Alligator mississippiensis: one gene and its partners. The protein of the gene in region 3 purifies or fractionates together with the protein of the main gene of each other region. This does not show direct contact. Links are inferred from orthologs where the notes say so. Each region holds a gene or a part of one and is shown on either strand. Other genes may lie near its edges.

Region 1 (7,410 bases), about 52 Mb from region 3:
TTCACACACACATCCACACACACACACCTTTTATTTTCTCCTGCCTTTGCCACAGTCTATAAAGCCCTATTGAGACATGTAGGCGTGATGTGTAAACCGGATTAGCAGTATGAAAGCAAGACACACAATGAGCCTGAATTGTTTTACTTCCTTTTCATTTCTCACGCCTATATCTCTAATAAATTTGTTGCTCCAGCAGTGGGTCAAAGGGATCGTGTCGCTCGGCTTTTTCTTTGTTTTTTTTTTTTTTTTTTTTGCTCCCCCCCTGCCAGACCCCATGGCAGAGATCAGGAAAATGAATGGTCTGCGCCTCCTGCCAAACGCGAGAGCCGAGGTGTATGGTTACAGAGCCCGGGTGCGGTCCAGAAGGGCTAAAAAGCTCTCCAGGGGGACTGTCCCCCCTCGGTGCACACTGCGGGGCTGAGGGCAGGCTGCCAGGGAAAGGATCCGGTTTGCAGGCGATGCTGGGGTGTGCGAGAGGATGACAAGGGCTGCTCCCGCTCGGATCCCCCGGCGGCTGCAGAGCCGGAGGAGGCTGCCCGGAGCGGGGGCGGCTGCAACGCCCTGCGCTGCCTGGCTGATGCTGGAGATCGCTCATTTGCTTCTTTGTGGCGCGCGGAGCAGTTCTCCATTAAAGGCGATCAGGGGTAATTAGCCGCATTATTTTGACAAGTTGGCTCGAGCAGCCTCCCTCGCCTGTTAGTCCCGAGGAGGGAGGGCGAGGGCGAGAGCGAGGGCAAGAGCCGAGCCGGGCTCCCTCTCCCCAGCCCTGAGCCCCCCGCAGCACCTGCCCAGACACACGGGCGAGATGCTCTGCCGGGAGGAGGACCGGGCGGGGGGTGGGGAGCAAGAACAGGGTTTATTTGGCGATTGCATTCAAAGGGCTGCAACAGCGGGGCAGGACATCCCCCCTCCCCCCCACAGGCCTTATTGGGCGGCACAGCTGGATGCCAAAAGGAGATCGGGGCGGGTGTGGGGGGCAAAACCACCCCCGGGCACAAAAATGACAGGCGAGTGAGCGCCCTCCAGGTCAGTTTTGTTCCTGCCGGGCAAACAAACAATCTGGAGGGCAGGTGTTTTCTTTCAATGTCCTTCCTTTATTCATGTAACCGGATGCTACAGGCAGAGCAGTGATGGGGGGTGGGGGGGAAGCCCCCTAACACGCTGCAAGAGTCGCCGTGAAGCCATCAGCAACCTCCCAGCCCCTACCCCTCGGGGCTGAACTCCTCTGCCGGGCATCTGTGCCGGGCGGACAAAGCCTTGGCTGGGGATGATCCAGCTGGGGATGGTCCTGCTCCGAGCAGGGGGTTGGACTAGATGTGACCTCTCGATGTCCCTTGCAAGGCTCCTGCTCCGGGATGCCAGGGGGGCATATAGGAAGGCGGGTCCTTGGTGCCAGGCACCCGGAGGGGCCAACTGGGCGGGCCCTGCCCACCCGGGGGGAGCGAGCCGGGCCGGGGGAAGGCAGAGCAGTGCCGGCGGGAGGTGCCACCTCGGAAGGCCTCCTGCAGGCGAGGAGCCGGGCGTGTTATCACCACTCCGATCTGTGGGATCCTTGAAGTTTAGGGTAAAGAAAGGAGAGGGGGAGAGCCCCGGGTGCGGAGCCGCGGTGACATGCGCAGGGCATGCATATTAAAGCCAACAATGCTTACAAATGTAAATAAGGGCAGATTGATTAGGAACAACATTATCGCTGGGAATGCAGCACTCGCATGCATCAGCAATGAGGCAAATTGGGGGCAGCCACCGCTCCTGACCACCCAAGTCGAGACAGACTTTTACTCTGACACTTCTTCCTCCTCCTCCTCCATTTTTTTTTAAAGCGCGGCAGAAACAAGGCCAATTAGATCCTCGCAGTAATTCATCTCTGGGGTATGAAAAAAAAACAGACCACAGGGGGAGAGGGAGAGATTAAGACACCGCTTGTTAAATCTGAGCCTCCCGATTACACTGGGGGCACCAACCGGCAGGATTTATAGGCGCCGGGACAGGGCGGGAAGGCCTACCGAGGCGAAGCTGCCAGGCAGGAGGCAGAGCCCGCGGGCTGGCGCCTCGGCCCCCGCGCAGGGGGGACAGGGTGGTACAGGGAGCACCAGGAAGCAGAGGGGAGATCATTGCCCCCCCACCCGCCGTGCTGGGACCCGCATGCAAGCCCCCTGCACGCCCGGTTGCTGCATGCATCCGCCCCCTGCAGAGCGCGCGACTCCGCAGAGGCCCCGCGGCGCGGGAGCCGCGCGCCCAGCCCGCTCCCTGGAGCAGGTTCTACCCCCCCACTCGGCCCGACCCGACCCCGCCACCACAGCTGTGCAGACTGAATGGGGACGGCTCCCCCCGCCTCGCCATTGGCCCGGAGCGCCCAGCCCGGAGCACCATTGGCGGGCGCGAGCCGCAGCGCCCGCCCCCTGGAATGTACTGCGGCTCGTCTGGCACGTCTCCCGGCCGCCAGAGGCCAACCGAGCAGCTGCCCCTCCCGGGCACCGTGTGGGCGCCTAGCGCGGGTTCGGGTCGTACCATCTCCACCCCCCTTTCAGAATCCGAACCCTCAGGGCCCGGCCGAACCCGCCGCGCACTTGAGGAGTCCGGCCCAGGCGCCCGTGTGTCACGTGACGCCGCTGGGCCCCGCCCCCCGCGCGTTCTTTTTTTTTTTCAATGAACACACACCGCGCGCCCCTTAAAGGGACACGGCCCCGAGTGGGACCTGCCCCCCTCATCCCAGTGGTACAGGCTGGGGGGTGGGGTGCAGAAGCACGAGGGGGAGTCCCTGAAATGCATGCAGATGGGGGGGGCAATGCGGTGCAAAAGCCACCTCCGGGGTGACAGCGCCTCCTGCAACCTGTACAGAGGCACAGCCCCCCCTTGCACCCCTAAAAGCGTTTCCGATGGGGAGCATCTCCCTACACGGGCATCTCCTTCCCCCCTCCCCAAAATCAATGCATTGATTTTTAAGTATCTATTTAAAAGCAACTCATTGATTTTTGGGGTGCCAACAAATAAAAATAGCCCCGAAACAAGCTGGCGATTCACGCGGAGCGTGAAAAGCCTCTGGGGACTGAACTTGACATTGAAAAAAAATTGTGGCGGGGGGGGGGGGGGCGAGGTATTAAGCGGACTTTGCTGCAGAGTGAGGCTCGGGACCCCCACGCTCAGTTAAACCGCGCGGGCTCCTTGCCCGGCTTTACATCCCTTCTTCTGGGTGTTAAATTTCCATGGTGTGTTGTTATCATCATTACCATCATCATCATTATTATTATTAATTATTATTTGCCCCCACCCTCACTGGTCCTTTCTTGCAAGGATCTGTCTCCTCTTTAGTTAAAAGGAGAAAAGAGAGAGGGAGGGAGGGAGAGAGAGAGAGAGAGGAAAAAAAAAAATTGGCACTTTCCCTCGCAGTATCCACCACCCTGTCATTATTTGTGCAAGCCTGGGAATTCAGCTCGGACCTCCCAGTATTTGTTGCAGCTTGAGGCCAAGGTGCCTCTAAAAGGATTTTCTTTTAAAGGCTTTAGAAATCGTTCCGTGGGTTTCTTTTTCTTCTTTTTTTTTAAAAAAAAAGCAAAATATATTTTTGAAGGTGGATGTGCAGTAAAGGCTTGCGCGCGTGTTTGTCTAAAAGCATCTCGTAAAAAAAAAAAGAAAAAAAAAGAAAAAGAAGAAACCGTTGTTGAAAAGAAAATGAAGAAGAAAAGGTGGGGAGGGGGTGCGGGGGGAGAGGCATTCCTTAATGGAAGTATTGCATGCAAAGAAGGCTGGATCTCTTTAAGGCTCCCCCTGAAGCTGGAGATGCACACACAAGGGTTGCCTGCCTGGGTGGTCTCTCTACTTTGGTGAGCTGTTGCTAAGCAGCTAATAATAGTCATGTTTGCTGAGTAATTTCTGCCCTCCCTGAGCCAATCGCGTCCCAGAAAGCCCAGCCATCTGACAGCCCCAGGGGCGGGATTTGAGGGCTTTTTTTTTTTTCTCCTTCTTTCCCCTCTCTCTCCTCTCCCCCCCCTTCACCCCTCCTCCTCTTTATCCAAATGGAGAGAGTTCTTTTTTTCTTCTTCATCTCATCTATTGAATCAAGGAGCTGCTGCTTGCTGCTGCACACACACGGAGGGAGAGAGAGACACACACACACGTCCAGAGGGAGAGGGGCACCGCGGAGCCGCCCGCCCTGGGACTCAGAGACAGCTCTGCCCTGAGCCAGACTGGGACCGCGCGGCCAGAGGCAGCGGCGGCAGCGGCAGCACCTCCACGGGGAGCACGGAGGAGCCCCAGCCCGGCTTGGCTTTGCTTTTCCACGGAGCAAGACCGAGGCGGCGGGGAGGGAGGGAGGGAGGGAGGGAGGGGAAAGGGGCAGGAGAGGGGGGGAGCCCGGTTTCTTTGCAGCTGCGAGAAGCCAAGTGGAAGCGGGAGGATTAAACCCCCAGATCCCGGGCCGGGGGGGAAGCCGCCGCACTCACCCGCGCCCCGCTCGCACACACGCTGGATGCGGGAAGCGGAGCCCCCCGGATCCTCGCGAAATGTTGCAATGGAAGGCGCAGGGTCTGCCTCGCCGGGAGCCGCCGCCGCCGCCGCAGCCCGCGCGGTGTGAAGAGGTGGCTTGTCAGCAGCAGCAGCAGCAGCCGGAGAGAAGCGCCGCCAGCTCAGCCAGCCCCCGGTGCCCCCGCATCGCCCCAGCGCGGCCGCCGCGCGCCGCGGGGAAGCCCAGGCGAGCCAGCCCGCGGGTCGCCCAAACAACAACAGCCGCCGCAGCAGCAGCCCCGTCCCGGCGGCGGCAACATGGCCTCGGCTGGTAACATTTCGGAGCCGGAGAGCAGCGGCGGCGGGGCTGGCGGTGGCTGTAGGGACCCCGAGGGGCCGGAGGGGAGCGGCAGCAGAAGGCGGAGGAGGACCGGGGGGACCAGACGCGCTGCGGCGCCCGAGCTGGACTGTCTGCAGCGGCCGAGCTACTGCGATGCAGCTTTCGCCTTGGAGCAGATCTCAAAGGTGCATGAGCCTCTGGCTGTGCGTGCGTGTGCGCGCGCCTCTGGGTGTCTGTGTGTGCGTGTCTTTCCAGCGATCTTTTTTTTTTTTTTAAAGGGGGGTGTCTATTTTTTTTTTTTTTTTTTTGCATGGAAGGAGGAGATGGGAATGAAAGAGCCACCAATAAAATGCTGGGAGAAAGAGGGGGACGTCTGTGAGTCCGTGCGGAAGAGCCTGCCCTCCTCGCCGTCCTCCTTGCCCCCGGGGGGGTGGGGTGCTCCCCGGCTGCTCTCGTGCAACGCTGCCCGGGACCCTCTGCCGCCTGCCCTCCTCTTTTGTGGGTCGCCCTCTTCTCGGTTCGGGTGCCCGGCTGCTCCCCATCCCTGCGGAGCGCTGTGCCGCTGCCTGGCAGCCCCGGCTTCCGACGGGAAATGGGGATCGGGAAAAGATCGAGGGTTTTTTTTCCGGGGGGGGGGCAAAGAAAAGACGGGGGTTTCCTTCGGTCACGTTTTCCAGTCCGCGGGGGCATCGCGGCTCTCGGAAGGGAGCAGGCTTGGAGGAGAGGAAGTTTTGTCCTGTTGAAACCCCCGGCGCTTGGAGGAGAAGTGAAAGTTGTAAACAAATTGCCACCTTAAATCTGCCTTGCAGGTCAGGTCCCCCCATCCCCTTTCTCCCCCCTTTCTATGATCCCGGATCCTCGCTTTTATTGTTAATATCGAAAGGCTCCAAACGCAGGGACTGACTCTGAAACAACAACCCCCTCGTCCCCAAATAGTCCCGATCGCTCCCTTTTGCAAGGCAAAAAGGTTCCTAGCAAACCCCAGCGAGGAGGCATCGCCTTTCTTCGGAGATCGGTTCATTTCAGGCAGCAGATTTCTTTAATTTTATTTTGGGGGGGAAGGCTTTGCAAGAAGTGGAAAGGCAAAAAAAAAAAAAAAAATCCATGTGGCTGCCCTCTTCCGTTCACAAATATTGTCGTAACTTACAGATGGCTGCTCTGCTTCACCATTCCGATCACACAGCGTCTCCAAACTCTATGGAAATGAATGACTATTAAGCTTATGATCACGCAGCATTGCTCACCACGTGGGTCGGTCATTTACTACACACACAGTCGGGGCCGGGAGCTGGGGAGGGGGGAATCGGCAGCAAATTGGTACAATGCAGCTTTCCCCCCACCCCCTTTACCGATGTAACAAGAACAGGAAAGGGGGATTTGATTTGATTTTTTTTTTCTTGGCATGTTGAGATTCATCTGCTTTGATTCTTGCTTCCCCTGTGCTGGCAATCTTGCCAGCATGAATGAATTTTTGATTACAGAGCTGCACTGATTTGTATTGCTGAACTGATGGCAGTGACTTGCTTGCAGCAAGGCTGGGATGGGCTGGATGGGAGGGCAGGCAGAGGCTGTCTCATTTATCCGGATCTCCTGCAGTGATGTCACCCAAAACCTGGGTATTGATTTATGAATAGGAGACTCAGCCGTCTACATGCACGTCTTAGTCCACACCACTGTGTCCGGTGCCTGGAGGGCTGCTCCACAGAGACATGGGCTGCAGTCCAAGGTGTCTTGTCCAGGGTTCAGGTTGTCCTCTTCATGTCCCCGCTCATGGATGCTCTGAGGCTCCTGGCACTCCTGCGTGAAGATGTGATGATGCTTGGAGGCTGCTAAGAAGGAGGAAAAAAGCATGCCCACGCTGTGCGTGTGGGTGTCTATCTGTCTGTCCCAGGCTCTCAATGGCTGCCCTTTTCTTGCCTTGCAGGGGAAGGCGACTGGAAGAAAAGCACCGCTGTGGCTAAGAGCGAAGTTTCAAAGACTATTATTCAAACTGGGCTGTTACATTCAAAAAAACTGCGGCAAGTTTTTGGTTGTCGGCCTCCTCATCTTTGGGGCTTTCGCTGTAGGATTAAGGGCAGCTAATCTCGAGACCAACGTGGAGGAGCTCTGGGTGGAAGGTAAGACTTGGTCCCTGCTCTTGGGAGCCCTTTCTCTTTCCTCTGCCCTCCTTAGGGCACCTCAGGGGATCCAGAAGAGATCCTTGCTGGGATCTTCTGGAGCTCACTACTCCCCCCTCCCCCCCGGCCCCCCATGAAGGTCAAGGCAGCAATTTGTGGCCAGCCTGTCACCCAGGCCACAAGTGTTGGCTAGAGCAGCGTTTCTCAACCTGTGGGTCAAGACCCAAAAGCGGGTCGCAACAATATATGAAAGGGTTGCAAACACACTTGAAAAATGCATCAAAAATAGGTTCTTCTTTAAAAAAAAGTGGGAAACCGTGGCTTTTTCCCTGGAAGGCTGGCAGAGTTGCAGCCTGCAAAGGGGCTGCTTGGGGACACACTGTGAGGCTGGGACCTGGGGGCTCGGGTCGCCATCATAGAGGACAGTCCAGTTGTCCTCTTGGTATAAAACTGGACACCTTTATGTCCTCAGAAGAGAAAAATAGAGGACATAAAGGTGCTGGGTTTCAT
Region 2 (6,879 bases), on a different chromosome or scaffold from region 3:
CATCCCCACCACAGGGAACAACTTTCCATTAATGAAAGGAGAAACAATGCAGCCATTTTCACAAACTAAATTAAATACCACCTTGGTGTCTGACTACCAAAATATGAGTTACAAATAACTATAGTGATTTTTTTCTGCAAGATAGAAACATTAACAGGAACATGGATTACACAGCTGTTTCATTTGTTTCAGTGTCTGAACAGTGGCATTGAAAGAACCAGTCTAATGCATCTCTCCACTACAGCAATCTCAACATTGTGGTTGTACCAGTACTCCAGGGAGACAAAGAGCACCTATGCCATAGAGACTAGAATTGCTGCTGCAATCAGGTGCGTTGGGGCATTTACAAAGCAAAATATACTCCAATGTAGAATAATAGTAGAACTAGTCTACCTTCTGTATCTGTATCATCTGTCATTTTCCCTCTATACTGGGAATAAACCAAAATATAACACCTAATATAGAGAGTTAGGTAAAATCCTAAAATAGGCTAACTGGGAGTTTGGGTGGGGTGAGCAATTCCCATAACCTTTTATGGAAGATCATTAGAAAACTAAGCCTGTCCTAGAACTCAAGTCTGTACAATGGATTCACACCATTTTATTCCTACTGAACAGCAAACTTTTACTAGCCATTACTGTACATTGCTGTTTTTATCATGTTTTCAACCATAACATCAAACAATGCTATCAAACCTGTGCATCATTAGAGCTGGTAATGGCAATTCATATCAGCTTCTCAAAATGATCAAAGCAGTGGAATTGAAGTGTCATGGAAACTTAAGCACTATTTCAGAAAACCTTTGGCTTCAGAGATGCATACACGTAACTTGCTAACATACGGGATATGGCATTAGTATTTAAGGTTCAGAAGTTTCAGATTACTTCCTTAGGAGCATAAAATGCCATGTTGTCTATTTAAGACTAGACTCTGCCACCTATACCCCTTGCAAAAGTAGCAACATCTGAATGTTGAAATAGAAACTTTTCAGGGCAGGTAACAGTCATCTTACATAGTTTTAAAATGCCAACATACTAAGCACTATGTAAATAATAATCTCTACAAAGCACTGTCATGTTGATAATTCTAAAGGTGACAGTTTTTTTGGATGAAGGCATGGAATTTGTTTTGGTATCAAGTATTACTTCACCAGTGCCCTTTTCATTTAATGGTTCATAACCGTGGCACAGAAACACCCCATGACTACAGATGATCAAGGCTGACACATTTCGTTGACATTACCAAGAGAATAGAGATGGTAGCAATGGTGAAATCTGTAGCATAAAAAGAGAACCCAAGTATGGTTACGACCTTATCATGCAATGTTTAAAATGAGCCAAGATACAGTTTACACCGCTGCAACCACAGTTGGACCAAGATAGTGACAAATCATGGTCATGTATTATAAGTGCAGATAGAACCATAACATATAAATGCGCAAACATATCAGTCTCTTCAGACCTAAAGGAAAAATAAAGGGTTTCTTTTTCTTTTTTTGGATACATCAAGCATGCAGAACCCAAATGGGTGTGTGTGATCACAAAGCAGAGCCCGATCAAAAGCATATCCAATTTGGGAAGGGGCTGAAACTGGAAGAGAAGACCGTAGAAGTATCTGCGTATTTCAAGAACCCATTAATGCTGCTCAAATAAAATACTCCACATCTCTGCCAGGGAAATCTCAGCACAGCAACTGTTTTTCACCTAGCTAATCTAATTAGGATAACAGAGATGCTGCTTACAGGCATTTGTGGAAGTGTTAGATCAGTGGTTTTCAACCTGGCCCTCAACGCAGGTGTTGTCTGCACTATGGCAGTCAGATAAAACTGCCCTGAATGCAGAGCTGTGGCAAACGTGCACTCCTGCTGCATTAAGGCTCTCTTATCAGCCTCCATCTAGCTCCTGCCTTCTTGCTTGGGCCCTTCCCAGTCTGGGTCCCCCACCACACACTTCCTGAAACAGGGTACATGGGAGCATTCAACCTGCTGCCTCCGTTTCCAGGATGGCGGCCACAGCAGCAGCACCTGGCTGAGAAGTACTGGGGTAAACCGAAGCAGCAACCAGGGATGCTGCCATATTCAGATGAGTGGTGAAGGTTTATCCCACTTGAGTTGCTGTGTTAGATATTATTTGCACCCTTTCACTGCAGAAGCAAGTGCTCGCTTCCTTTTCACACAGACTCCCATGTCAGGTGGGCTCTGCCATGCTTTGCAACAGCTACAGCCACAGACCTGATGCCAAAGATGGCTAGGTGGCTGGAAGCATTTTCAGAGCTACAGCCATAGCGTGGAGAATACCAGCGCGCTGTTCACAAGAGCACCATCGCCACAGGCATCGCCCGGGGCACGTGAACTCGGTGGAGCAGAGGTCATCTCCCACAGGAAGTCACCCATGCCCAGTGCGTGAGCTCGTGCTCGTTTCTGTTCTGCTTGCGGCTGCAGGCTGCTCTTTGCAAAAACAGGAGCTGAAGAGGTGGGGAAAGAAAGGAGGAAGGCAGCTGGGACAGGCCTGGAGGAGGGTTAAAGCAAGATGGGGGAGATGACATGGGAAGTGGGGAAGAAGGAACAAGTCCTGTGTTCTGGGAGCGCCCTGCTTGGGAGGGGAAGCCCTGCGGCAGAGCTGCTGGACAGAGCCGGAGGGGCAAAAAAGGAATAAAAAAAATCAAACTTGAAGCGACTTCCTGCTCCGGGCCTTGGGGCCTCCCAGCGCCCGCGGGGCCCGAGGCTGGGCCGTGCCCGCAGCGGGGACCGGGCCACGGAGACAAAAGGAGGAATCAACAAGTCCCCCCGGGGCGGGGCGGGGCGGGGCGGGGGCAGCCCTGCGGCGGGCCCGGGCGGCGAAGGGCCGGGCCCCGCTAGGCCGCGGCGGTGAAGCCGGGCGCGCGGTACCTGGACGGGTTCCTGCAGCACCGTCATCCTGCCCCCGCGGCGCCCGGCGCGGCCTCGGCCCCGGCTTCGCCTCAGCCTCGGCGCGTGTCCCGGCGGCGGCTGGGCCCGGCCCGGCCCCTGCTCATTTAAACTCCCAGCGACCGTTACCGGGGCAGGCCGCCGGGAGGAGGGAGGGAGGCCGGGCGCCGAGTCCGCCCGAGCGGCGGCGGGAAGAGCCGAAGGGGAGCGGAAATGCCCGAGCGGGGGCGGAAGCAGCCGAGGCCCGAGCCCGAGGGGGGGGCCCGCACAGGGGGGGCCCCGAGCAGCCGCGGAAATAGCCGAGTGCTGGCCGAGCTCGCGGAGCTGCCCGAGCGCCGCCTCCGCCACCGCCCTCTCCTTGCGCCGGAGTCTCGGCGGCGGCGCCCCCTGGCGGTCGGCCTGAGCCACTGCGGGCCGCGGGCAGCGCCCGCCCTGCTTGGTGCAGCGACTGCGGGCCGAGGCCGGGTCCAGCGCGGAGGGCGGCGGCTGGTCTCTGCTCTTTCGGACCCGAGGCTGGCCTGGGCAGGCTGAAGCACACCCCCGGGAAACGCCGGTTCTCCCTTTTCACTCTTGTTTGACTAGGGAAAGAGCACCGGGCAGTTTGCCTCTTGCGAGGATCCAAGAAGCGCCACCACGGCGGATTCCTGTGCTGAATCTCCAGCTTTATCTTATGACTCCTGTTTGCACACCTTACCTAACATCAGTGCTAACTAACCGCAATTCATGTGGTGCCTTAACCTCTGGTGCAGTTCCCTCCGGAGTTAACGGCTGCGTGGTACAGCATCTACATGTGCGCCTAGGACCGCAGCAGTTTGGGCTGTGCCAGGGGTGCTTGGCCCTGGGCTGGCAGCAGGCTCGGGGGTCAACCCCGGGCATGAGGCTGAGGGGGCACGGTGACCACCCGCAGGCGGTGGGGGTGGGGATGTGGTGGCAGCAGGCGGGGACCACCTACAGGTGGCCGTGGTGATGGCGGCAGCAAGGGCATGCCAAGCAGGGACCACCTGCAGGTGGCCACAGCGGTTTTGGTGGTGACGCAGGGGAGGGTGGTGAGCAGGGACCTCCAGTAGCCACCATCCGCGCTGTCGGCAGACACGAGCAGGGACTGCCTGCTGCTGCCGGCAACCGTGTCAACAGCGAGGCAGTGACTACCTGCAGAAGCTGGTGGCGGCTTTGGTGGCAACCAATCTCAGGGGGAGGGGGGGGCACGTGTCCCCCTGTGCCCTCCCTACACATCGCCTCTGACCCCAGGTTCCAGGTCATGGTGTCAGGTGGCCGAGGGGCTGGCTGGGGCACAAGAGTGCCCGAAGGGCAGAGCTGCATGGCTAGGCAGCAGGCAGCAGCCTGGCCCCTGCTACCTGGGCTTACTGGGCACGATTTATGTCCAAGTCAGGGTTTACACACATCCTGGACAATACTATCTTAGAATGGCAAAAAATAATTTGCTGCAGTCTAATAGCATCACACATGTAGACTGTGATGCTTTACACCACAGCAAATTAGTCTGCTGCACAGTTAAGTGCACATGTAGATCGATCTCAAGGTACTCCAGGGTGCTATGTCACCCTGCTTGAGAATCAATGGCTTAGGGGAATGCAGGAAACTTCCATCCCCTTGATTTCAGTGGCAGTTCAGTGCCTAACTACCTTATAAAACCTGCCCCCCACTTCGTCTACTCAGGGAAATGGACCAGCACACGGTCCAGACAGCAGGCAGGATAGATTTACACCTTACAGACTACAGGTTTCCCTCACTTTATGCTGTACATACCTTCCTGGAAAAGGCCGCATAACTCACATTCACATAAAGGGAATCCGCTTTACAACGTAACAAATAGGGATACGTTCCAAGACCTTGACTGGACTGACCCCAGACCCCATTTCCACCAATTTTACAAGACGATTTTGGTACTCACCAACAGCAGACAGTACACACAAGCACTGGGCACTGTCATAATGGGGACGGCAACTACAAAAACACAGGTTGCAGACAACAAGCAAGGAGTACAGATCCACACAGGAGACCACATTTTGGTGTGTGTCACTCCCACAATGCCCTGTACAAAGCAACTGACTCTGGGTTTCCACCACACCAATTGCATAAGAGTGAATTGACCTCGCATATAATGAATTTTTGGTATAAAAAGGGTCATTGCATAAGAGCGAATTCGCACATACAGAACTCGCATAAAGCGACGGAAACCTGTAGTTGGGCACTCCAAAGTAACTCCCTGTGGGGACAGTTCTACCATGGTAGGGGGAGTTACTCTGGACTAGATCTTCACGTCTGTCTGGTACAGAAGAGTTTCCTGATGCAAAGAAACTTGGGAGGAGGGTGAGAGAACTCTGCAGGGTCCCTGGCTTTTTGTTGAGTTGTCTTATAACGGCTGAAGCATGGAGGAGTCTGGGTCCTGGCATAGCAGGAATGTCTCTGTATTTGTACTTCTTTGTACATAAAAAGAACTGTATTAAGGGTATCACTGAGGCTGCAAAGAGAAGTACTGAGCAATTGGAAAATCGCAGGGTGCTGACTGCCCAGCTGGAAAATAGGTCCAACTTGGAATTTCTCTCCTCTGTAATTGTCTCCATTAGCATCACTGCTTCTGTGTGGCTATGGTTTCTCAGCCTATCAATTACACATTAATACATGAATACAGTGGAATGCTTGCCACTTACCAGCAAACACATTCAGATCAAATCCACATCCAGATCAGATCAAATCCATATAAAATCTGCCCATATCAATAGTGATACTGTTATTAAATTTCTGGGTCCTTGTATTGTCAGCTTCAAGCATTCAAAACGAATGAGAGAGGCTAAAAAAATCATCAGCTATTAAGAATAATAAATGATGGGGTTAATTTGTATTCACTATCTAAGGTTAAAGCATTTAAAATTCTAATTCTCGGGGGGGTTGTAACCCTGAGGACTAGAAACTCACCTGAGTCAATGAGAGCTAAGAGTCTCAGATAATAACCTGATTCTGGCAGTGACGTCTTTGAAGAACACCACATCTTCCATGACTTATGAAAAAGGTTATGAGGATACCCAACACCAAATGCTCATTCTCCAAAGTTTTGGGATCCTTAAGTCCAGAACCTCTGAATAGGGCTCCATGTATTAAAATTGGTTTTCTGTTGTACATCCAGTTTGAGCCCAAGGTAACATTATAGAATCACTGCTCCTGCTGCAGGGAAAGACAGCTGTCCATATCATTAGTGAGATTGAGCCTATTTTGGTACAGCCCATTCCATCCTAAAGATTATGTAACATGGGCAAAGCCTGGACGCCTACTCATCAACCAGGTTTAGAGGGACTTGCTATATTGGTAGGATAATGAGGTGATTTAGAGCAGTGGTTCTCAACCTTTCCCACCTACATAAGGTAAAAAAAATCCTGGTCCCACCAGTTGATGGCAGGCCGGGGGGTGGGGGGCGGCAATTGAAGCGTGCAAAAGCAAAAGAGTTCACCGCCGCGACCCAAGTCCCACCTAGAGGACCTTCGCATCCAACCAGTTGAGAAATCCTGTAAAATTTGGATAGACTCAAGGCCTGGTTCTGAAGGGTGCTAGAGCTGCCCTAGTCTTGAAAGAGCTGGTATTTATGAGGGGTGGAAATGCAGGTAGGAGAAGAAAGGATGTGGACAAGTTGGAGAGAGTCCAGCGGAAGGCAACAAAATGGTTCGGGGGCTGGGGCACATAACTTATGAGGAGAGGCTGGGGGAACTGGGTTTATTTGGTTTAGAGAAGAGAAGACTGAGGGGGGATTTAATAGCAGCCTTCAGCTACTTGAAGGATGGTTCCAAAGAGGATGGAGCTAGACTGTTCTCAGTGCTGGCAGGTGACAAAACAAGGAGCAATGGTCTCAAGCTGCAGCAAGGAAAGTTTAGGTTGGATATTAGAAAGAACTTTCTCACTCAAAGGGTGGTGAAGCACTGGAATGGGTTACTGAGAGAGGTGGGGAATTCTCCATCCTTGGA
Region 3 (6,908 bases):
GTGGATCCAAATCAAAACTTTACTGTCCTTGGATGAAGTTATTTTTAATGGAAAGTTGAACTCTCCTATGTAAAGCAGACATTAGTGAAAAGGTTCACTGTCTTGAAAGCCATTTTTCCATTGAAAACTGATTGATAAGAAGTCTTCTGTTAACGCCTTATTTAATATATCACATTAGCCTAACTTAACAGCATGACCTTGCACTTAGAAACGGCAGTCAATTCCCATACAGATGCAGTAACAGCCTACACACACAATGGCACTGTACAAAATCAAAAAAGATGCAAAGCTTTGCAGGGATATAACCTATGGTTTGTAGCACCACAGCTCATTGCATCACCCTCTACTCACTTCCATGGGGCATTGTGAAACAATTTGTCTCTTCTCTGAGAATGGTGAACAGAAATGATCTAGGACCAACTTCTTTTCCCTGGTGCCTCCTTGTGCTCTGAAGCGTGGTAATCTGCAACTGCAATTGACAGATACTTTATATGTGGCAGCAGTGACCAAGAGACAGCAATAGTACAGATGTGAGTATTTAGGAGCTGGCTTTTTCTGGCCAGGAACAGGAAAAAAAACAGTCAGCACTGCATGAACTTAGCTAAAGCCATCTTTTATGGCTGATCCTCCTACCCTGCAAAAAATTCAGACCAAGACTATGATCACTGAATGATGGGGATACAGTATGATAAAACAAAGCTGCAGACTCAGAACATTTATAAAAGGAGAACAACAACACCTGCGTAAGCTTTGCTCCATCTTTGAGTACTAAAACATCCAAAGGGGCAACAACAGGCCCAAAGTGTACTGCTATCACCCTGTAAAAGTTGGTACTCCCCCAGGTTGTTACAGGTGTACTGATAAACAGTTCAGGGTTGGCATAGCACTGTCACTCCAGACCCCCATCTGTGATCAAACAAAGGCAAAACATCTGGGCAATCCAGCTGCAATCAACTTCCACAGTCAAAAGATGTGCAATGAAAAGCATAGGGGCACAAACATTTAACAACACCAAACACTGCAGAGTGCAAGACACTGATGCAGTGGCACGTGTTATGGAACTGCACATCAGCATGGAATCTGTCCCCTTTCTTGCACACTGAACTGGGGCTTGTGTGCAAGATAGGCATGGGTGGATAAGTGGTTTGGGCTCACCAGGTGGCTCATGATCCTGCTTCTCTCAAAAGCCATGTCTTGACCCCTCAGCTATGACCATGGCAAAGAAACTGGGATAAAGCATCCACACCTGAGGACAGGAGGGTGATCCAGGCAGATCTTGACAGGCTCATGAAATGGACAGATGAGAACCTGATGGTGTTTAATACTGAAAAATGCAAGGTTCTCCACCTTAGGAGGAAAAACCTGCAGCATGCTTATAGGCTCAGCAGTGCTACGCTGGTTAGCACTACAGATGAAAGGGACTTGGGGGTCATCATTGACCACAAGATAAACATGAGCCTTCAATGTGATGCTGCGGCTAGTAAAGCAAGCAAAACACTGGCTTGCATCCATAGATGTTTCTTAAGCAAACCCCGGGACATCATTCTCCCATTGTACTCGGCCTTGGTAAGGCCACAGCTGGAATACTCCATCCAGTTTTGGGCTTCACAACTTAAAAAGGATGTGGAGAAGCTTGAGGGAGTGCAGAGGAGAGCCATGCACATGATCAGAGGTCACGAAAACAGACCTTATGATGAGAGGCTGAGCCATGGGGCTCTTCAGCCTGGAAAAGCGCAGGTTCAGGGGTGATCTGTGGCCGCCTATAAATCTATCAGGGGTGCTCATCAGGATCTGGGGGAAAGTCTGTTTGCCAGAGTGCCCCAAGGGATGACAAGATCGAATGGTCACAAACTCGCTGTGACCAATGCAGGCTGGACATAAGGAAGAACTTCTTTACTTCTCTACTGCCAGAGGCGGTTCAAGCACCTACTTTGAATGCCTTCAAGACACATTTGGATGCTTATCTTGCTGGGATCCTATGATCCCTACTGACTACCTGCCCCTGGGACAGGGGGCTGGACTCAGTGATCCTCCAGGGTCCTTCCCAGCCCGAATGTCTATGAAATCTATGAAATTCTGCTCTCACCTCTTTTCCTCCCATGTTCACTTTCCATGTAACCCAGATCCCTCCTTCTTCATTTTTCAGCCATCCCTGGATCCTCCCACCAGTATCTGAGCTCTTGCTGTTGCTCTGACCACCTGGAATTATCCTATGCATCTCCACAAATAAGTCACAGACTTTGGCTTTCAGACAGCAGTCATCTTGGTGTCCTCCCTTCACTCACAGAGACTGAAACTGGCTCAGAAGTTCCTAACAAATTAAAAACAAATGTTTATGAATGTCCTTGGGTCCCAACATGGTTTGATATCCCATGGATGCAGCTGGAAATAAAAACAAAATACAACTGATTTCCCACATCATTCCTCTTGTACAAGCTAGAGCCTGCCAATTTCCAAGCTTGGTCAGAGCTTAGAAGGGTGAGTTACCAAAATGTTCTCACCAATCATCATCTGTGTGATATTATGAAAGAACTGGAGCCTGTGGAAGCTGCTAATCAACTAAAAGATCCAGGCAGCAGTTAATGTGGAAGCAATGCTTTTAAAAACCACCTACTACATGCTCCCACTTTGGTATTTCATGCTCTCTTGGGAAGTACAGACTGAGCTGCAGTGTAATTTTCTAATAGTCAACCTGTGTTACCCCAAAACCTTGGATCAGGGAACCAGTGGGTTGTTGAGAGAAAGAATGCTCGAGAGATGGGAGTTTCCACTCCATTTAATGTAGGTTTAACAGATAACACACAATTTTATACTATGAAATGTACTAGTTATCCTACTCCTATGATGTTCAGATAGTCCAGAGTCTTGTTGGACTATTCAGAGGCACTGGCTACCATAGCGTTTCCCAACCTTTTCCAGCCCAAGACACACATTAACATTTTTTTTCTGTGGCACACCTGTTAAGGCATTCTGTCCCCATACTCATGAGCTCGTTGCCACGGCAAAACTCCGTGGCACAGCTGTTCAGAGGCTCTCGAACTGCGCATCCCCTACAGCCAACACGTGCAGATGAATTTCCTTCTGCTTGGCCGGTTCTCTCTCCTCCCCGCCCCCCCAGTCAACACATGCACCAGTCTTCTGTGAATAGTTGGTTGATCTGGCTTGTTGATGCAGCTGGTTCGTTAGCACTAGGAGGCTACAGAATTTTCTTCTCATTATTCCCAAATTCATGTGGCACACCAGTTGAAAAGCTCAGGCCTAGCAATCCAACCCTTTGCTCCCAAAGAACCCTTTGTTCTTTGTACCTTTTGTCTCTTTCTTATTCAGTATTTGTACTATTGCTACTGGCTGTTTACAGACTATGTCATCCAATAGTGAGAAACTGATATTTCCCTAAAACCTGATCTGCATAAACACACCTGTACCTACATGCCTTACTTAGCATCCTGTCTTTCTGCACATCCTCCCCCCACAATCATCCAGATGTTTTGACAAAATCGTCTTGCTCAGCTCGACCTAGCAGGTGACCTGCTAGCCATCTCGGTAGCTATGCAACCCCTGGCAGGAGCAAACACTGGCAGCTTTATAGGGCCATCAGGCCCAAGCAGACGAGCGGACACCGGCTCAGACGGCCACGGGACGCACCAGACTACAGGAACACGGCCCTGCTGGGCACAGTCAGCCACACCCCGCCAAGCACCAGGCCCAGGCCACCCCTCCCTCCCCGCCCCCGCGTCCCGTGGTACCAACAGCCCGCCCCACTCCCTTGCCCCGCCCCATTTTCGAACTTCTGGAAGAATCAGCGCTCGGTTTCTGCGGCAACGCATTGGGGGTGGAACGTCGAGCTGCCAATGAGGAGGGAGGGGAGCAACCAATGAGCGGAGCCCAGTGCGAGTTTTAAACCTGCGGCCGCAGCAGGGGCTGGTGTTGGCGGCGGCGGCGTGCGGGGACATGGCGCTGCGGGTCACTAGGGTCGGTAGCGGGGCGGCGGGCTGGGGTCGGGGTCCCTTCCCCGGGGGCGTCCCGCGTGGCTTGCGGCTGCTCAGGGCGCCTCGTCTCTCCGCAGAACAACATGAGAGTCAGCGCCGAGAACAAGCCCAAGGCCAGTGGGGCGGCGACTACAGTGGCTGGCGCCAAGCTGGGGGGCGCCGCGGCCAAGCCCGGCCTGCGGCCCCGCAGGGCCTTGGGGGACATCGGCAACCGCGTGTGCGAGGAGCCGCAGCCTAAAGCTGCCCTCAAGAAGGTAATTTTGGAGGGGGGAATGCTGGACCTCGTGCATCCCTGGCCCAGCCAGCCTTGTGGGGGGGGTCTGCTCTGCAGATGGGGGTGGGGTGCCAGGTTTGCTTCAGGCTGTGTAGGGGGCTCCTCGGCTAACTACTTCCCTCTCCTGCTGGGTAGGAAGCTAAGCCCACGGCTGAGGACAAGCCTGCTGCCAGGAAACCTGCAAAAGCTGTGGAGGGCACTGCTGAGCCTCTGAAGGAAGAGGAGCAGGCCCAAGAGCCTGCCAAGGTACCTGTCTGTGCACCAGGGCAGGTATGGTATCAAGGAAACAAGGGGGGCTGCTGTGACCTGCTCGGTCTGCATCTCCCACCACCTTCCACCTCTGTTCCCCTTCCCCTAGGGAAGGAGCAAAGTGAATTCAGTGGCACATAATGCCAGTGTAATGGTGGCCTCTTCCAAAGTAGTACTCGTGGCCATTAGCGTGGGACCTGAGCACCTCCGTCTCTAGTCTTTCCTCTTGTGTTCTGAAGTAATGTAGCACCCTGCCTGCAGGTGAAATAGGGCATGGGCAGGCTAAGGTCTCCTTTCCTTAAAGAAGGAAATTGGGGGGGAGCTTTTTTTCCCAGGGCAAGGAGCTGAGTCTAAGGCTTTTTTTTCTGTCTTGCTTCTTCCTCTGTAGGCCCCTCTCTTCTTCCTCCCCCCCCCCCCCCCCCATTGGGTCCAACCTTTTCAGAGCTGACACTTCCATGGGGTGCCTAGAGTCCAAGTTAAAAACAAAGTGAAAATAGAAAAACTAATACAGCAATACTTGTGTTGCAGAGAACTTGGAACCCCCCCTTCCCCTAAAATCCAAAGTTTTTTGTTTCATGATGGATTCCTATTTGAAGTCCTGGCGTTTGCAATGAGGATTCACACAGTACACCTAATAGTACTGACTTTGCATGGTACCCCAGAAAGGATCTCAAGGTTCCCAGGGTGCTGTAGCACCCTAATTGAGAATCGCTGTCCTAGGGCCAGGCCACCTAAACAACTATTAATGTTCCCCTCCCAAAGTATTGGGCAAGCTGAAGCCCTAAGCTACTGCAAACAAGCACTCTCTCATTTCATGACCCTAGTCCATAGGGGAGCCCAGATGAAATGTCTGACCTCAGATAATTGAGGCTTTACTGAGTTGAAAGTGTTGTAATGTAGATCTCCTCTTCCTTCAGCAACTGTTTCAGTGTAGGAATGCATACACCAAATGCTGCTGTCAGTTCGGTGACTAACTAAAAGTTGCCCATAAACTTGGAGCACAGATCCTGGCTTCTGTCATGTACCTCCTACCAGGGAAACTATGGGGGGGAGGTGGGGACTCTGCCAGAGAGTGCTTCACTGAGCTAGTACTACTAGCTTGGGAATAGCCTGCTTGTTTTACTCTAGTTTAATTGCTGCTTGTTTGCCCTATTGTAAGATCCCAGATGCACAATGATATGCTGCCCTAGTTCTGTGTAACTAACTCCTAAATCAGTGTAGAAATATTTCTCCCAAGGAAAAATAAAGGGCCAGGTGGCAGGAAATACTGATGACCATCTTGTGTCTACAGCTGTTCTGGAAATAGTAGCTTGTCACTGTTAGTAAGGACCAAACAGCTGTTCTACATATCGCAAAATACTGGGATATCTAGTAACTGGTCTGCTCTGAATATTGGTGTCCCCTTAACTCCATCTGTTTGTACACTATCTGTCAAACTCTATTTTTAAAGGCCTGATCACCAAATGGCTGAAAAACATGGCCTTAATTAAATATATTTAACTCCTTTCTCTGTAGTTGGAGCCTCTATCCCCAACCCCAATGGAAACATCTGGATGCATGCCAGTGGAGGAAATACTGTGTCAAGCCTTTTCTGATGTGTTGCTTGATGTAGATGCAGATGATGGTTCTGACCCAAATCTCTGCAGTGAATATGTGAAGGATATCTACAAATACCTGAGAGTTCTTGAGGTTGGTATGGCTGCTGACTAGTTGGTTTGGTTGGTTTTGTTTTTTCTAGCACATCTCCCAGCACTCTGCTTCTACCCTGATCCCTTGTAAAGAACTACAAGGACTAGCTGACAGAGGAGTCTAGTCATAGATGTTCCTACAAGCTTGCTAACAGGACCAGAACATATGCCAAACCTTTAAATGACAAGTGCATGCATTCACTAGAACGGGGGTGGACAAAACATGGCCCACAAGCTAGATCCAGCCTGCTGGGACACTTCTGGCCCACAGGGCTTCTTGAAACTTAAACAGTTACTACCTGACAAGATGCTAGTGGCAGGAGGCACTGGGTGCAGCACCAAGCAGCTCAGACTCTGGTCGTGTTGTGACCAGCCCCAACCTGACTTGCCCCACTCTTCTATGCCATGCTCCTGCCTAGCAGAGGCTTCTGCCCTGATGACCCTGTGGCTATTCCCCAGTGTGCCCTCCATCTGATTAGGTGGAAATTCAGGTGAGAATAGGAAGGGAGGTGGACTGATGGTGATGGCCTCACTACATGGGGCTCATGGGACTTTGGATGGCTCTGTGCTTCCACATGCTGCTCCCAGCTGGAGTGCCAGGATCACCACGTAGAGGCACAGAGCTGGCCCAGCCTGATAGCACCAGACTTCACACAGTTTCTGGGACTCCAGTGTGCCACCAGGCTGGGCTGGCTCCATGCTGTGTCA
Region 4 (7,777 bases), on a different chromosome or scaffold from region 3:
ACTGGGGGCCCTAGAGGAAGGGGAGAAGCAGAGAGGTTTCAGAGACGGGGGGGAGGACCCAGGTGTCCGGGCTCCCAGCTCTACCCCATCGCACCCCACTCCCCTCCCAGAGTTGGGACAGAACCCAGGCATCCAGGCTCTCAGCCCCTCCAGGTCTACCCCAGCAGGTGCCACTCCTCCCCCCCCACCCCACCAAGAACCCAGGTGCCTGGGCTTCCAGCCCCTGGTGCTCCAATCTGCCAGCCCCCTCTCGCATGCCAGAGAACTCAGGCATCCAGTCCCACTGCTCTACCCCGCTAGATGCTGCTCCTCTCCCAAAGAACCCAGGTGTCCGGGCTTCCATCCCCCCCCCCAGTTCCCCCACAAGCCCCAACTCCCTTCCCCAGTTGCCTCCACTCAACTCTCAAAGACTCCAGGCACGTGCGCTCCCAGCTCCCTCCCACTCTCTTCCCAGAGAACCCAGGCGCCCAGGCTCCCAGGCAGAGTGAAAGGGGCTGGGGGCAGGTAGGGACCCAGGCATGGCCCCCCACCACTCACCTGTCCTGGAGGGAGCTATCCCTGGAGCTCCCCGACAACTGGAACACCTCCAGGGCCAGGCTGCCCGTCCCACCTTCATCGTCCTCGTCCTCCTCCCAGTCGCTGGAGAAGCTGCCGTAGGCAGGGAGCAGCGGGGAGCGGGGCGGGGTGGTCGGGGGGCCCTGGCGCCAGTGGGCGAGACTGCACAGTGCCAGGCAGACCCCCCACAGCAAGCTCATCAGCCCCTGTGGGTGGGCAGGGAGAAGGGGGGAGATTAAGTGGGGCAGGAGGCAAAGAGCACAGGAGGCAAGAAGCAGGGGGGCACTGACCTGGAGCAGCACAGCGCCCCACTCCAGCCCAGCTTCAGCCAGCAGAGCGAGGCGGCGCCAGCGGCCTGTGCAGCGCATGAGGTCAGACTCCAGAAGGGTCTCCGCTGAAGGGCGGAGCCGGGGGTCAGGCTCCAGCATGGCAGCCAACAGGGCCTGCAGCTCCAGTGACAGGCCTGGGTGGGGGTGGGGGGGAAGAGGAGATGATAAGGAAGACCTCTGCGGTGTCCCGGCCCCAGGCACCCTTGGACCAGGGGAGGACCCAGGCATCCGGGCTCCCAGCACCCCCTGCTTCTCCCCACCAGGCCACACTACCCACCTGGACCTCCAACTCACCATACTCCCCTCTGCCCCCCACAAACACAGGCATCCCCAGCTCCCAGACTTACCCACTCCAACCCTCCCCAGACCCCAGCCCTTACCCAGAGAACCCCAGGATCCTGGCTTCCAGCTCCCCTTGCTCCCCGTCCCCCCGGAGCTGGGGTGGAGCCCCGGCATCCAGGCCCTTCCCCAGACGTACCAGCTGTGAACTCAGGGGGCAAGTATCCCTGCCGCAGCTGCTGCCAGGCCTCACCCCCTGTGGGCAGCTCCAGGTTGCAGGCGACCTCCAGGATGGTCATGCCCAGGCTGGCGGTAGGGGGCAAGAGTCACGAGTGGGGGAGGCAAGATGGGCAACTGACCCCTCCCACCCCAGGCAACTGCCCCGCCCAGGTGGCTGCAGCCCACAACACCCAATGGGAGCGTGCCTGGTCAGTCAGAAGAGGGTGGGGTGGGAGCGGGGGCAGGGGGAAGTCGGGCACCGGGACGCCGGGGCCCTAACCTGAAGACGTCGGCGGCAGGGCTGTAATCCCCACACAGCAGCTCGGGCGCCATGTAGCGAGGGTCGCCCTCCTGCGCTTCGCCCGGCTCGGCCTGGCCCAGCTCGAGGGCCAGGCCAAAGTCGCCCAGCTTGCACACGCCGCGGGCCGTGAGGAAGACGTTGGCCGGCTTGACGTCCAAGTGGACCAGGCCACAGACACGCACGTGCTGCAGCGCCCGCAGCAGGTCCCAGAGCCAGGCGCGGACGCGGCGCTCAGGCGGGGGCTGCCCGCGGGCCTCGCAGTGCTGCAGCAGGCTGCCCGGGCACAGCTCCGTCTGCAGGTAGAGCTGGCCCCGCTCCTCCCAGGCCCGCGCCAGGCCCAGGCAGTTGGGGTGGCGCCCCACGCGCCCGTGCCGCCGCGCCTCCGCCAGTTTGCGGTGCCGGTCGGCCGCCCCCCGGAAGGGCTCCACCGACCGCTTCACCGCGTACAAGCGCCCGTCCGCTCGGCTCCGCACCTGGGGGAAAGCGAGGGGCAGCCTGGGCACCCGGACCCCTGCGCTCCTGCCCCGGCCAGCCCACACGTCCCGCCACGCCCCAGCGCTCCTCCCCCCGCCCCCCTACCTTGTAGACCTCGCCAAAGGAGCCGCGGCCTAGGTGGCCCAGCACCTGGAAGCACTGGCGCAAGAAAGACTCCCGCTTGGCGGGGTCGTACAGCAGGTCCGCGGGGGGCGCGGCCTGCCCGGGGGCCCCCCGGCACCACACGAGGCGGGCCCGCGGCTGGCTCCAGGGCTGGGGCTGGCAGCCGGGGAAGACGCGGCTCACGGTCGGGGGCACTTTGTGGCGCGGCCGGGACGGGAGGGAGTAGCCCGACGCCCGCTGGGGCCTCTTGGCTGAGAAGCTGCCCTCGGCCTCGCGGAAGAAGGCCGGCACGGGCAGGGGCGTGCGGCTCAGCCGGGGCTCGGGGCCCGCCTCGTCCGGGGGCACCGGCATGGCGTCAGCGCTGGCCGGGGCAAGAAAGAGGAGACATGGTTAGCAACATGGTTAGCGCCCCGCGCCCGCACCTGCTCCCCTCCGCACGAGCAGGCGCATGGCCTACTCCGGGCGCCCACGTGACTGGGGAGCCTGGGCCCCTGCACTAGGGGTGAGGGGCAGGCTGGGGCTGCACTCCTTGGCATGAGCAGGAGGGCGCTGGCGGGAGAGGAAGAGAGGCAGCCCCGTGGCATGAGGGGCTGGGGGGGCAGGGGCGGGGCGGGGCGGGGCGGGGCTCACCTCCAGGGCCCGGATGTGGCGGGTCCCCCGCGCGGGAGGGCAGCACGCCCCCCTCCCCCTCACCCGTTCCCGCGCGCGGGCTCCCCCGTCCTTTCCCGCCTTGCCTCCAACTGCCGCCCCGCCCGCGCCCCCTCAGCCAATCCGAGCCCAGGCACCGCCCACATCGCCCCACCTGGCTGCCTCCCCCGGCACCGCCCCCCGACTGCGCGCCTCAGGATTAGCCAATCAGGGGGCGCCTCGTGCCCCGCCCCGCTCGCCCGGGCGGCTGTCAATCAGAGCCAACTCCCCGCTTTAAAGGGATGGAAGGGGGCCGCGAGGGTTCCCAGCATCCTCTGGGGCAACCAAAGCGTGGCCAAACCAAAGCGCCCCCCCCCCCGCCTCGGAAATGCCCCTCTACCCTGCCAAATCCCCTCAGACATGCCCCCCAAATCCCCTCAGACACATCCCTTTACCCCCAAATCCCCTCAGAAATGCCGCCCAATGAAGTCAGCCCCCCAGGGATGCCCCCTTCACCCCGCCAAAACGAGGGGTGAGGCCCCCGAAGGCAGCCCTTCTACTCCCTAGGGAGGGGCCAGGGCCCCACAACCCTTGCTTTTGGGGTGCCCCCTTCACCCTTTATATAAGGGGCAGCCGTGAGTTACCCCCAGCCCCTCCACCGCCCCCCCCAAGGGTGCCCTGAACTGAGTTCACCCCCGATGCATCACCCCCAGAGGGGGGCACGAGGGACACTGCCCATCGCCGAGAGGTGCAGACAGCGCTGGACGTACAGGGCCTGGCGCGGCCCCAATCTCGGTCTCAGGGTAATTCAGTGGGGTCCAGATGCGAGGGGCTGCCCATCTTAGCCCGGGGGGGCGGGGCGGGGTCTGGGCAGTGGGAGGTGGACCGCGAAGTGTGAAGGAGAGCCTCCATAGTGTATGATGTGCACATGTGCGCGCGCACACACACACACACACACACACACACACACACAGAACCCAGGTGTCTGGAAACAACCCGCCCTTCCCACCCACCCACACACACACACAACCCTGTTGTTGGATGGACACACATGCACACAGGTGTCCAGGACACCCCCCCCCCAATATGCACAACCCAAGCGTGTAGAACACCAAACACGCTTGCCTCAGTCTCCTCCAGCAGGGGGCAGCAGTGCTCAACCATCCCCCCCCCCCCAACCCAGCAGTCTGGGCACATGACACACACACAACACCCAAGTGTCAGACACACAGACCCTAGGTGTCCAAGGAACACACACACACACACACACACACAGAATGCAAGTGTCTAGGATATACATACAGGTGTCTGGGACGAACACATACACACACACAACCTAGTTGCTAGACACACACACAAATATGCATACACAACCAAGGTGTGGACGCACATACACCCCATGTCTGGGACACGCACAAATGCACACACACACACATACATCCCAGGTGTCTCAGATATACACACATACAGAACCCAATTGTTGGACACCCCCCCCCTCCGATGTCCGGGACACACACATACACAGATACCAGGTGTCTTCCACCCCCACCCCCCCCATAACTCAAGTGCACACAAATACACATTCTCACACATACAACCTAGGTATCCAGGGGGGACACGCATATTCACACACAGCACCCAGGTGTCCGGCACCCCCCCCCCCAGGCATCTGACACACACACACGCACAACCCAGGTGTCTGACACAAACACCCCCCCTGCAAGAGTCTGATATATGCACGCACAACCCAGGTGTCTGATGCACACCCCCCCCCCGAGTGTCTGATGCGCACCCCACCATGTGTCTAATATGTACACACACATTCCCCCCTCTCAGGTGTCTGACGTCTGCACCCCCCCAGCGGTCTGATGCGCACACACATTCTCACCCACACAGCCTAGGTGTCCAGGACATACACACAGAACCCAGGTGTCACACACACATTTTCACACACAACTCAGATGCCCAGGACACCCCCCTACCCCGCACATCTGGAAACAAATCTTTCAAGACACAAGCTCTTTGAGGGGCTTTTTATTGCCGACACACTCACCTCCTGCTGTCAGCAGAGAGGGGGCAGATACAGGTACCCGCAACACACTTCCTACTCCCTTGTGGACACCCCTTTTTCCCCAGAGGGCGGAGGGGGGGGTGACAAGCCTAGGATGACAAACCCCCCAAAATTGCAGGTTTTTAACATGTAAGAATCCATTAAAAAATCCCAACGAGACGATAAGTTATAGCGGGATAATTTCTTTCCCTCGTAGCACCACACGTAGCACCAGATGTGGCAAGGTGGGTCCCCCTGCGGCAAACAACTGGCACCCAGGACTCAACACTTCCCAGCTGGGCAGCGGGCTGAGCGGAGAGAGAGCAGGGATCAGCGCTGGATAGGAGGTAAGGTTACATACACACACACACACACACGCACAGAGGATGTAGGTATCCAGAACACACAGAAACACACACACAACCTAGGTATCTAGGACACACAAAAATATGCACAGTCACACACAGGAGCTGGGACACGCACACAGGACCCAGGCATCCAAGATATACATGCACATACACACACGCAAGACCTAGGTGTCCAGGACACATACACATACCCTTAGGACCCAGGCATCTGGAACACACCCTCCCTGGTATTCAGGATAAATACGTGTATGTATGCTTACACACACACACACATACACACACACACTCAAAACCCAGGCATCTGGGATATGTGGATCCAAAGTGGACCCAGGTATCTGGGAAACACCTACACGTGCACACACACGCGCACGCACACACACAGGCATCTGGGACACACAGAGGCCAGTGTGATAGAGTCTAGGGGGGTCCATACAGCACCCAGCACCCCCCAATCTTAGTCTGGGGTCCGACAGGATGGGGGCCCTGCTCCTCACCTCGGTAGCCATTGCCCAGGAAGCCGTTTAGGCCATACTTGAACTCCTTCCCACCTATGAGAGGGAAAGCTCCCGTCACCCCCCCGTCTTGCCCTGGGGAAGTGGGGAGGGGAGAATCGTCCGTCTCCTGTGGCAGTAGCGGGCCCTAGCCACACCCACCAAGGGACACAGCACCCCCGCCTACCATATGCCCCTGGGGCGAGGGCAGCAGGCACCGGGCCATACCCACCAAGGGCCGGCCCCACGGAGATGGGTCCGTAGGCACCTGAAAGGGCAAGGGAGAGGGTTGCTGTGGGGCAGAAGCACAGGATGGGGGGACATTTTATGGGGCAAAAGCAAAGGTTGAGGGCCAGTAGCACAGGCTGGAGGGCAGTGTGGGGCAGAAGCATAGGTGGGGGGGCATTTTATGGGGCACAAGCACAGGCTGGAGGGCAGTGTGAAGCAGAAGCACAGGCTGGAAGGCACTATGGGGCAGGAGGCCAGGTCGATCTGGCTGCTCCAGGGGTGGGCGCAGCCCCACCCTCCGCCACCGGGGGGCTTCATAGCTCTGCCCAGCCCTGTTGGCACTTTGCCCACTCTGGTTTCTCTTTCCTCCATCTCTATGGTTTCCCCATTGCCAAGTCCTCCTGGCCCTGCTCCCATCTCCCAGCACCCTGGGGGCACCCAGGGCAGGTCTTGCCTGGAGCCATTCCATTGGCCTGGAGATCTCCCCCATTCAGGTATCCCAGTCCGTTGCCATTGGCTGCAGTGGGGAGAGAGAAGGGATCAGTGGGGATATGGGACCCAGGCATCCCGGGGCAGGGTGGGGGGAATCAGGAGCCACTGATGTTCAAGTGCCTGCCCATCCCACAGGGGGCAGGAGACCCAGGCATCCGGGTGGCCCCTCCCCAGCCCTTACCCTCCAACCCGGCAGGCTGTGCCCTGAACGTTGCCTGTCCTGAACCACCTGATGGGGACACAAGGGGGAGGGGTGGGGGGCAGCGGATAGAACCCAAGTGTCCGGGCTCCCCCGCTCCCTGGGGGCTCCACCCACTGGGCATGGAACCTGGGCATCTGGGCGGAGATGGGGACCCAGGTGGCCAAGGAGCCTTGTCCCCCGAGAGGGAACCCAGGCATCCGGGTGGCCCAGGGGCAGGGGCAGGGGTGGGGGTGATGACAGCAAGGGATACCCCCAAGGGACCCAGGTGTCCAGGCCTTCTCCCTGTGGTCTGGGGCATCCAGGCAAGCCACACCCACTGGGAAGGGGGGGAAGGGAGGGAAGGGGGTAGGGACCTGAGTATCCAGGCAGGCCTTGTCTACCGGGGATAGGAACCAAGGCATCCAGAGCATGTGGGGGCTCAGCGAATGCAGCCTCCCGTGCCCCAAAACATCCTTCTGTACCTACCCCCACATCTCCCAGTGCCCCCCCACGTACCCAGCTTGCCCGCATTGAAGTCCGCACCCAGCCCCACCGGCACCACCATGTAGGGTCCTTGCCCCAGACCTGGGGGTGGGGGGGAAGGAAAGGGGGCGGGGTCATAATCAGGGAAGCCCTGCCCCTGCTTCAGGCCCGCCCCCCGCCCCCCCAGGGACCCAGGAGTCCAGGCTGAGGGACTCACCATATTTAGCAGCTGACGGCTCTGCACCAGGGCCTCCAACCCGGCCCCCAAAAGGCCCCGGGGCACCTGCAAGTGGGGGGCGGTGGGGTAGTTAATAGGAGGGCAGTTCCCAATCTGTTGCCCCCCACCCCACAGCCCCGTGGCCCGTCTCACTGCCGACCCACAGCCCCCAGGACACCTGGATTCCACCTCACTCCTGCCCCACAGCGCCCCCCCCCCCCAAGCCCTTAACCTTACCATTGCTATATCCCGGCTGCGGCCCTGGCCCTGGGTAGCCGTTGCCACCTGCTCCACCTCCTCCGTAGCCTGGAGGAAACATCCAGGGGGAGGGTATTAGAGAGGGGGGGGAAGATAGGGGGC

The links.
Region 1: the proteins of CCNB1 (region 3) and PTCH1 purify together in Homo sapiens (affinity purification with western blotting; 3 studies listed by BioGRID and IntAct, with this or other methods). This does not show direct contact. The link is inferred for Alligator mississippiensis from reciprocal best matches to the Homo sapiens genes CCNB1 and PTCH1.
Region 2: the proteins of CCNB1 (region 3) and CDC27 purify together in Homo sapiens (affinity purification with western blotting; 6 studies listed by BioGRID, with this or other methods). This does not show direct contact. The link is inferred for Alligator mississippiensis from reciprocal best matches to the Homo sapiens genes CCNB1 and CDC27.
Region 4: the proteins of CCNB1 (region 3) and PKMYT1 purify together in Homo sapiens (affinity purification with mass spectrometry; 5 studies listed by BioGRID and IntAct, with this or other methods). This does not show direct contact. The link is inferred for Alligator mississippiensis from reciprocal best matches to the Homo sapiens genes CCNB1 and PKMYT1.

What each region holds. Positions count from the first base shown.
Region 1 is NC_081826.1:206,077,334-206,084,743, reverse strand, and holds the start of PTCH1 (protein patched homolog 1), read left to right. Parts: upstream 1-4,389; 5' UTR 4,390-4,761; coding exon 4,762-4,968; intron 4,969-6,707; coding exon 6,708-6,900; intron 6,901-7,410.
Region 2 is NC_081827.1:158,871,689-158,878,567, reverse strand, and holds the start of CDC27 (cell division cycle protein 27 homolog), read right to left. Parts: upstream 3,069-6,879; 5' UTR 2,915-3,068; coding exon 2,888-2,914; intron 1-2,887. UniProt on the Homo sapiens protein: Component of the anaphase promoting complex/cyclosome (APC/C), a cell cycle-regulated E3 ubiquitin ligase that controls progression through mitosis and the G1 phase of the cell cycle.
Region 3 is NC_081826.1:258,265,861-258,272,768, reverse strand, and holds the start of CCNB1 (G2/mitotic-specific cyclin-B1), read left to right. Parts: upstream 1-3,863; 5' UTR 3,864-3,951; coding exon 3,952-3,972; intron 3,973-4,066; coding exon 4,067-4,243; intron 4,244-4,398; coding exon 4,399-4,533; intron 4,534-6,027; coding exon 6,028-6,201; intron 6,202-6,908. UniProt on the Homo sapiens protein: Essential for the control of the cell cycle at the G2/M (mitosis) transition.
Region 4 is NC_081830.1:724,521-732,297, reverse strand, and holds the start of PKMYT1 (membrane-associated tyrosine- and threonine-specific cdc2-inhibitory kinase), read right to left. Parts: upstream 3,016-7,777; 5' UTR 2,911-3,015; intron 2,876-2,910; exon of another isoform or gene 2,642-2,875; 5' UTR 2,632-2,641; coding exon 2,263-2,631; intron 2,157-2,262; coding exon 1,663-2,156; intron 1,470-1,662; coding exon 1,363-1,469; intron 1,019-1,362; coding exon 846-1,018; intron 762-845; coding exon 538-761; intron 11-537; coding exon 1-10. Other genes in the region: GREP1 (glycine-rich extracellular protein 1), read right to left, coding at 5,240-5,265, 5,820-5,912, 6,004-6,084, 6,499-6,561, 6,718-6,765, 7,234-7,302, 7,418-7,483, 7,655-7,723. UniProt on the Homo sapiens protein: Acts as a negative regulator of entry into mitosis (G2 to M transition) by phosphorylation of the CDK1 kinase specifically when CDK1 is complexed to cyclins. Mediates phosphorylation of CDK1 predominantly on 'Thr-14'. Also involved in Golgi fragmentation.